2 linked regions of the Canis lupus familiaris genome follow. The main gene of each other region encodes a partner of the protein of the gene in region 2 in a complex. Links are inferred from orthologs where the notes say so. Each region holds a gene or a part of one and is shown on either strand. Other genes may lie near its edges. The genes, in order: RHOG and ELMO1.

Region 1 (4,529 bases), on a different chromosome or scaffold from region 2:
AGGCTTTGTCTTTGGTTTCCCTCCTCACAGACCCCCTACAAGCCTCACTACTAATGGGTCTACACTGTGTATGGAGGGAGAGGTCTTCATTCTGGGCCCAGGCCCCCACCTTCTTCCCAGCTGCCCAGCTACCCCCATTCTAATATCTTCCCAACTGTCTCATTATAGCTACAACTTCTCATATCTTCCTGCTATAACCTCCTAAAAGCTCACCTCGGCCACTTCATCTGACCTAACATTTGGCCAGAAACAACTCTCCATATCCTAGATTCCCAACCAGGATCTGTGACAATCTCACATTAGCCATTTCTTCCCCAAATAAGGACTGGTTTAGCAGGTGGGGAGTCAGAACTCCTGGATGGTTTTTTAATGAGCCACGATGCTGAAAAAGTGCCTTGCATGCACATCCTTCTCTGAGCTGGAATTTTTTGCAGGTTCCTGGGATTTCCTCCTGGAGTGGAACCACCTGTACCTCCCAGAGTGACAGTAGGAGATACGGTGGAAGAAGGGACAATTCACGGAAGAAGGGGGAAAGGCTAGAATGAGGAACCGGGTTAGCTCTTAAATCTAGTTGTGCTTGGGAATCCCAAAAAAGTTCCCCTCCACTTCTCTTTTTTTCTAATGGGGAGAAATGAATACAGTAGACTTGAGGTGGAGAGGCAGGATCTCTCAGCATGCTTCCCAAAGACTTGAGGAAGGAGCTTTAGAATGGGGACAAGAGCGCGTAGAGCCAAGCTGGACTGAAGTTAAACTTGAGAGGAACTCCTGAAACACAGGGAGTAGGGTCCTGGATGAGAGGGGGAAAATTAACAATGCCTGAAGGCAGAGGGGTCGGCAGAGGACTTGTCATGGAGACCCTAATGCAGCCAGGGCACGTGAGTTCCCAGGCTGGGCAGGCCCCAGAAGGAAGGAGGGAAGACGGGGCAGACACTTCTGCCTTACTTCCTTCTCCTTAACTAAAACAGTAAAGACTTAAGTTAGACCAGCTATCTAGTCTTCCCTCCAGAATCCTGCCTTTGTCCTCTCCCTTTCCTTCCACCACACCTAGCTGACCTCATCCCATTTTCCCTAACAGGTGGTGTAGGAACAAGCAAGCACTGGAATCAGGGGCCTTCAGGCTCTCTCCCAGCCTCTATACCTGGCCTCTTGGTTAAGCACCCAAGGGTTTGGGTGATTTGATTTCCCACGGCCTCGCTCACCAGTCTTATTCCTGTGTCACTCTACCCTTACTGCTACAGACTGCTTCCTCCTGCCTAACCACAACCTCACCCACTGCAGGTTCCCTTCATTCTGCTGGTTTCCCCTGCCCTGGGCCCTCTCAAGGCTGAGGGCAGTTATTTTGTCTCCAAGAGATAAAGACATAGACACATTGACAATCCCAGGCAAATACACATAGAGAAAAGTTTTCCAGCCCTTTAATCATCTTTATCACTGGGAGGTTGTAGCCTGTCTCTCTGAGGTCGGGAGATCTGAAAAGGCTCTCAAACCCACCAAAGTTCTGGACCCCAAAGCCAGAGATAAGTGGCTGAAAGGGAAGGAGACAGGGAGATTAAGAGAAGTGAGGAAAGGTGGAAGAAGCAAGAGGGTGGATATGTGTTTGGGAACCAGTAGGGGGGCAAGGAAGGGAGGTGGGGAGGCTGCAGGGAACAGAGGTGGACAGAGGGGCAGGGCAGGTGACAGGACAGGACCTGGGCATGACAGTGTGTTTAGGTGAAAGACTACAGAGGATGCAAGAAGAGGGTGATGGAGTGTTTGCAGATAGGGTCTGAAGAAGGAATGGAGGAAGAGAAATGAGAATATAGAATTTAGGGACTAACGATTGGGTGGAGGGAATAGGAGATGCTCCCAATTATTTCCCAAGGCCAGAGCTGGCACTGCCACCCAGAAGGTCTGTTCTCTCATCCCCTCAAAATAGCCCCCATCTCAGCGATGCCACCTTGTCAGGGCCTATCAGCACCTCTGAATGAGAGTCCTTCCACCGCTAGTCACAAGACCAGGCCCTCTTCTTCCTCAGTTTACCCCCCAAAGAGCGAGGCCAGGCCCTGGTCAGCCAGGCACAGAGATGTTTGCCAACTAAATACCTGTTGCTTCATTCCAGGGATGGAGAGGTTGGGCGTCAGAAAAACAGGCATAGAGAGCGAGACTGCGACTGGCGGGGCTCCCCCCTCCCTGCCCTCCCCTGAGTGCACAGGACCTTGGACTGCAGCCTGCGAATGCGGGTCCGGATTGGCACTTGCAGGGAGGGAGCTCTATTCTCCGCAGTCCAGGGCTTCGAGGGCCCCAGACACCGCCCCCCTCCAACCTCCAACCTTGCAAGTGTCACAACTGCCGAGCGGAGGGGAGCACTTTCTCTGCAGCCCAGGGGGCCCCCTTCCTTCACGCAATTTGGGACACCCCCCTCCCCTTCTGAGGTCACCCCAGCCCTGAATCCCATCGCCCAGCTCCGAGCTCTTCCACTTCGGAGACTTTTCTCTCGGAGCCGGGGACTCTCCCACCTCCGCGGTGCCGCCTCCCCGGGGACAGAAACCCACCGTCACGGTACCGCCGCCGGCTCGCAGGGGCCGGCTCCCCGCCCGCCCGCCCGCCCGCCCGGCCGCGCCCGCCCAGCTTGCGGAGAGCCGAGAAGCTCCCGCCCGCGCCTCCCGCAAGCGAACTTCCCCGGCCCGCGCCGCGCCCGCGCCCGCGCCCGCGCGCAGTCCCTGCCGGCCGCGCTCCCCCGCCCCCTCCCCCGCCCCCTCCCCCGGCCCCCCGGCCCCCCGGCCCGCCGGCCCGCGCCGGGCCTCACCTGGTGCCCTCCCCGCCGCGGGGGAGCTGGGGGCGGCGGCAGCGGCTCCGGGCTCGAGAAGGAAGTGAGAGCGGGAGGCCGGAGGAAGTGGGGGGGGCGGGCCGGCCGGGGCGGGGCGGGGCGCGGGGCGGGGCGCGGGGCGGGGCGGGCCGGACCGGGAAGTGCGCGAGGCCCGGGCCCCCCGGCCGGGGTCTCCCCCCCAACACCTGCCCGGCGCGGTCCGGGGTCGGGCCCTGGGCTCCCTAACCCCGGCCCTCTGCCTCGGAGGGCCCTAAGTCAGGTCTCCTAAGGTCAGTCCTGCCCGTCTCCTCCGTGCCACCCCACCCCAGTCGAGGCCGTAGCCGGGGCCCCAAGCTTTTGTCCCCCTCCCCGTATCTTGCCCCACCCACTCCCCGCGGGAAGATGCTGAGAACCGGCGCCCCAGGGTGGGCGCCTCGGTCAAGCCCAGGGAGGGAGCGCTGGCCCAGCCTGCGGGTTGGCCGGAGTGGGTCCGGCTGGGACAGTCCCCACCCCTGCCCCGAGCCCCAGCGGAGCGCGCAGTGGTGGTGATTCAGCAGTGGGAAGGCCCCAGACCCCTGGGGAGGGTGCGGAGACTGGGGGCAGGGGAGCTGGCGTCAGCACCCGGGGAAAGACAAGATCAGCAGAGGCGCCGACCGAGCCGCGGGCCCCAAAAACAGGATGTCGTGTCGTCGTTCCGCAACCGGCTGCTCCGTGCGCTGGGCTCTGGGGAGGGGAGGGGGCGGGGCGGGGCGGGGCGGGCGGAGGACGTAGGGCTCCCCTCGCCCTCGCCCTCGCCCTCGCCCTCGCCCTCGCCCTCGCCCTCTCTCTCCTCGCCGCCGGGCGCGCCACCGCTTAGGGCTGCAGGGCGGCACCCAGGCCCAAGATCCTGCCGGCGCCCCGGGGACAGCTGGGTGGACGGGCTCGCGGGCGCCCTCTGCTGCTTCTGCACCCAGGTGTTGCTCAGGAGCTCTGACGGCTCCAGAAGGGGCGGATAGCCTTCCTCCGTTCAACCCAAACTTTCTGAGCGCCTACCACGTGGACAGCTGCAGCTCCGTGCGGCGTTTAGGACAGGCTCCCTGTCTCCAAGAGGCTTTCCAGATAAAAAGGAAGAATAAATAGCGTAACCTTCTGAGCCTCAGTTCTATCTTTGGTAAAATAGAATAACCTCTCCTTCGTCCTGTAGAGGGGAGATAACATGAGAATGGATGTAAAAGGCCTGCTATTGGTGCCCGGCTCAAAGTAAACATTCAACGAATGCTTTAAAAAAAAAAAAAAAATCATGCTATAAGAATAAGTTTCCGGGATCCCTGGGTGGCGCAGCGGTTTGGCGCCTGCCTTTGGCCCAGGGTGCGATCCTGGAGACCTGGGATCAAGTCCCACGTCGGGCTCCCGGTGCATGGAGCCTGCTTCTCCCTCTGCCTGTGTCTCTGCCTCTCTCTCTCTCTCTCTCTGTGTGACTATCATAAATAAATAAATAAATAAGTAAATAAAATTATTAAAAAAAATAAAAAAGAATAAGTTTCCTAAACACAACATGTCTGCCCACATCTTTGGGTCTTTGCCCCTTCTATTCCCTCTGCCGTGCCTTCTTTCCTGTATTGATTGCCAGGCGAAATCCACTCAGACTTTCACAATTCGGCCCCAAAGGACCACTCCCTGCGTGGTTGCCATCACCCTTCCTCCCACAACACAGATACACCCACCCCACCTCTGCCATGCGGTTGATAGTCTCTCCCGGTGCTGT
Region 2 (4,474 bases):
GTGGGACTCTTGATCTCCGGGTCGTGAGTTTGAGCCTCATGTTTGGTGTAGAGATTACTTAAAGAACCTAACTTCTTAAAGAACTAAAATCTTTTTTTTTTAAGATTTTATTTATGTATTCATGAGAATACAGAGAGAGAGAGAGAGAGAGAGGGAGGCAGAGACACAGGCAGAGGGAGAAGCAGGCTCCATGCAGGGAGCCTGACCTGGGACTCGATCCCGGGTCTCCAAGATCAGGCCCTGGGCTGAAGGTGGTGCTAAACCACTGAGCCACCTGGGTTGCCCAAGAACTAAAATCTTAAAAACATTTAAGAATGTAAAAAGAAAATAGTGAAAATATTCTAAATTATATATATGTTGTATATATTTACACTATATATATTTTATTTGTATATACATTTTACATATATATATTATATATATGTATTTTTTAACCTAATAAAATAACCCAGTGGACTGATCACATCTTACACTATTAGCATTTGTTGAAATGCTATAATCAGCATAAAAGTTTCTAACAAGCTATTTTACATTCTGTTTTTCATACAAAGTCCGGTGTCTGTTTTCCACTTCCAGAACATCTCAGGGCGAGCCACATTTGGAGTGTTCAATAGTTGCTTGGGGCTCTTGGCTGCCAGCACAGGGGAGGGGGTGGGACTGCAATTTAAGCAGGAGTTTTACCCTCCACCTTAGAGGCCAATGCCTCCCTGCTCCCGGGTTACCAACTTGGCCAGTTTGAAGGGAATGCATTAGTAACCGCCTTTGTCTTTTCGGGTAGATAGCTATTTTTTTCTTTTTGAATTTGTTAAGGACAGGTGTTTCTCCTGCAACCTTCCAACCACTGTCACTTGCCTCCTTGGCAGCTAGGCTGGGAGTTAGTATTTTTTGATTCTTTGCTTTGAAAAATCACTGGAGTGGGTCGCATTAGACAGTGCACCCCCAATACCGAGCTGGGGAGGGTAGAACGTCTCGCTTCGTGAAAAGTCATGCCAAGTTAGGGAGTCCTTGGGGTCACTGATGAGAACTGCAGGGCGCACATGCCTCGGGGGCTCCAACAGAGAGCAGCAGAGGTTGGGTTACCCTCGCCAGGCCGCTCCGGGGTAAGCCCAAACGCCTTTTAAAGTCGCTTTAAAACAACCCGCCTAAGTCTCCCCCCCCACCCCCTCGAAATTGCATGCCAGCTGCCAAAAATGAAAGCATATAAAAAGACGCCACGCGCCCTCGGCCTCCCGGAGGTGGCGCTATGACGGTGACGGAGTTAATTAGTGCCTGCAAAGCGCCGCGTGTGAGCTCATCCGAGAAGTCATGCTCTGCACACATATTATTTATAGCCGATCTGAGGCGTGCACGGTGCTTGACATTTTCCTTATTTTTAAGTAGGGGGACTTCGGAAAGTGGTGGGCGGCCCCGCACCCCGTCCCCGCCGCAGCCCCCCGCCCCGCAGGGCCGAGGCGGCGGCAGCTCCCGGGGCGCGCGGGCGGGGACAGCGCCAACCCCGCGAGTCCCGCGCAGGTGCCGGGGGCGGCGGCGGCCCCTCGGCAGGGCCGCCCGCCCGGGAGGGGACTCGGCGGCCGCCCGCGGGATGCCTGCAGATGCACAATGTGTCTCCGGCCAGCAGGAGGGAGGAAGAGGAAGTGAGAGCAGCGGCGGCCGGCGGCGCGGCGGCCGGCGGGGCCCCAGGGTGAGTGCGTGTGCGCGGCCGGGGATGGGCACGGGGTAGAGGCAGAGCCGCCCCCCCCCCCCCCCCCGCCGCGGCCCCGAGCCGCCGGACCCAGCCTCGGGCCCCCTCCGCGGCCGCGGGGCGCCGCCGCCGCCGCCGCCGTCCTGCGACCCCCGGGCAGGTTCGTAAAGTTTCCTGCGCTGGCGCCGCGCCCCGACTCGCTGACCTCGGCGCGGCCGGGGCGGGGGCCGGGGCTCGGCGGGGGGCTCGCGAGGGGGCGCCCTGCCCCGGGGCCGGGGGGCGCCCCGGGCGCCGCGGAGACACTTTTGCCCGCGCCCCCGCTCCCCCGGGGCGCCGCGGCTGGAGCCGGGGGCGGCTGCGTGCGCTCGGGGCGCTCCGCACTCGGGGAAGTCTGGGCAGCGCCCGGCGGCCGCTGCGGGAGCGGGAGAGGGAGCGGGAGCGGGAGCCCGAGCCGGGCAGGGGCGCCGGGAGGGGCGCCGGGGAGGGGGGCCGGCGGCTCGGACCCCGGCTTCTGCTCCCGCACCCGCGGGTGGGAGGGAAGCCCTCGGCGAGCGCGCCCCGGGGAGGGGACAGCGATGGGGACGGGCAGGGGGCGCGCTTGGGGCGCCCGGGACCCTCGGGGGAGACGGCGGGTCCCCGCCGCCTGGGGACGCGCCTGGGGACGCCGCTGGGACCGCGAGGACGGCGGGGAGGGGGCCCCGAAGGGCGGTCGCGGCTCGGGAGGGGGCGCAGCGGGCGGCCCTGCACGGTGGCGGCAGCGGGGCGCGGCCCGGGTCCCCGCCGCGGGGGGCGGCCAGGTGGCGGGTGGCTCCGAGGGAGGGAGACGCGCACGGCGGCGGCCCGGGGCGCGCGGGGGGCCGGGGCCGGGGAGCCCGAGCGGGTCGCGGGCGCGCGCGAGGGCGGGGAGCGTGGGAGCCCGCGGGCGCAGGCGGGGCGCGGGGGGCTCGGGGCGCGGGGGGCTCGGGGCGCGGGGCGCGGGCTGCCCGCCGAGTGGCCCCCGGTGCCGCCTCCCGCCCGGGGCCGCTTCAAGTCGGCGGCGGCGGGCGGGGGTCGCTGGCGGTGCGGCGGGCGGGCGCGCGGGGCCCGGCCGGGGCCCCTGGACAGCTCCCGGCTCCCGGCTCCCGGCCCCAGGAGGGTGCGCCCCGGCCCGCTGCATCCAAGGTTTCCAGAGGCGCCAAGACTAGGTTTCGCGCCCCGGGAGGCAGAGGCCGCAGGTCCTGGCTTGGGGGGGCTGGGAGGTGGGGGGCACCGGAAGACTTCAGGAGTGTTGCCGGCGTGGTTTTTTTTTTTTTTTCTTTCTTTTGTTTCTGAAATAAAAGTAACTGATGATGTGTATTTAGGCATGGACTCTCTGAGGGGTAACTTTAAGAACCCCAGGAGGGACCTAACCCTACTCAGGTTCACTTTTAGATCAAAAAGCCGGCAGCTCATCCCGCCAAGTGCCCCCCACCCCCCTCAGTGCCCAGCACTTGGCGGGATGAGCACTGGGTGTCATGCTATATGTTGGCAAATTGAACTCCAATTTAAAAAAAAAAAAAAATTTTTTTTTTTTTTTTAAAGAAAGGTAACAGTAACACAAAAATAAGAGGAAAATCTCTATAAGGGATGCCCGGGGGGCTCTGCAGTTGAGCACCTGCCTTTGGCTCAGGGAGTGACCCCGGAGTCTCAGGATGGAGTCCTGCATCAGGCTCCCTGCAGGGAGCTTGCTTCTCCCTCTGCCTGTGTCTCTGCCTCTCTCTGTGTGTCTCTCATGAATAAATAAATAAAATCTTAAGGAAAAAAAAAAAAAAAGCCAGACAGCAGCTCTTAGTAAGGGCCTCTTCTGGTCATGTTTTTCCTGTCTCCCCTCCATACCTACTTCCCAAGGTTATTTCAAGGATTATTGTCCCTCAGTTTACAGAACCTCGAAGCCCGGATGCCCTGCTGTCATGTGGCGGACTTTATTTTTTACAGTTGCCCTTCTGAACCCCTGCTCCGGACTAGGGTACATTTCCTCTCTCTGGAGGGCTGTGGTTAAATGTTGCCTTTTTTCCTACTGAATCTATTACTCAGATTTTTTTTTTTTTAATTAGATGGACTGGTTGTCTAATGGGGAAACTGTGAGGGAATGACCAGGAGTGTTGAAAGTCTGCAGGGGGATGGGGTCAGGAGGGAAGGGAACTGGGGGAGCAGCTTGGTGGATATCAGGGAAGGGGCCGTTGCAGGCCCAGGCCTGAGTCTTGTGGAATTCAGGTGCAGGCACTGGACTACGGGATGGGTGGTGCCATGAATGGTCCTATCTCCACCCCCCCTCCCCCATGTCTCATCTTCCTGCTGTTTTTAAATAAAATATTTATTTATTTTAGAAAAAGAGAGAGAGAGAGAGAGAATCTCAAGCAGACTCCCTGCTGAGGTGGGGCTCCATCCATCCCACAACCCTGAGACCATGACCTGAGCCAAAACCAAGTCAGCCACTTAACCACTTAACCGACTGGGCTGCCCAGGTGTCTCTCCTGCTTTTAACTGCAGCCATTCTGACCACCTTACATTCTTCTTCACCAAGTTCTCTCCCCAGAGCCTTTGAATATGTTACTCCTTTTGCACAAAGCATGTTTCCCCGCATTTCCAGATAGCTCACTCCCTTGTTCACTTCAGGTCTCTCTGCCCAATTGTCAGCTTACAGGCAGCCTTTCCTTATTAATTAATTAATTTATTTATTTAAAGATGTTATTTATTTGACAGAGAACCAGAGAAAAAGCATGAGCAGGAGAAGGGGCAGAAGGAGAAGCAGGTTCCCTGCTGAGCAGGGAGCCT

Evidence for each region.
Region 1: the proteins of ELMO1 (region 2) and RHOG are in contact, whole or in part, in a crystal structure (PDB 7Y4A), measured with the Homo sapiens proteins. The link is inferred for Canis lupus familiaris from reciprocal best matches to the Homo sapiens genes ELMO1 and RHOG. Residues at the interface, in NP_001193409.1 of Homo sapiens: Lys9, Val10, Ala11, Glu13, Tyr18, Pro19, Leu21, Met22, Ala54, Asn71, Gly72, Ile74; in NP_001656.2 of Homo sapiens: Val36, Phe37, Asp38, Trp56, Tyr64, Arg66, Leu67, Leu70, Ser71, Pro73, Gln74.

The regions. Positions count from the first base shown.
Region 1 is NC_049242.1:26,500,627-26,505,155, forward strand, and holds the start of RHOG (rho-related GTP-binding protein RhoG), read right to left. Parts: upstream 2,889-4,529; 5' UTR 2,786-2,888; intron 1-2,785.
Region 2 is NC_049235.1:48,789,971-48,794,444, reverse strand, and holds the start of ELMO1 (engulfment and cell motility protein 1), read left to right. Parts: upstream 1-1,555; 5' UTR 1,556-1,592; coding exon 1,593-1,681; intron 1,682-4,474. UniProt on the Homo sapiens protein: Involved in cytoskeletal rearrangements required for phagocytosis of apoptotic cells and cell motility. Acts in association with DOCK1 and CRK. Was initially proposed to be required in complex with DOCK1 to activate Rac Rho small GTPases.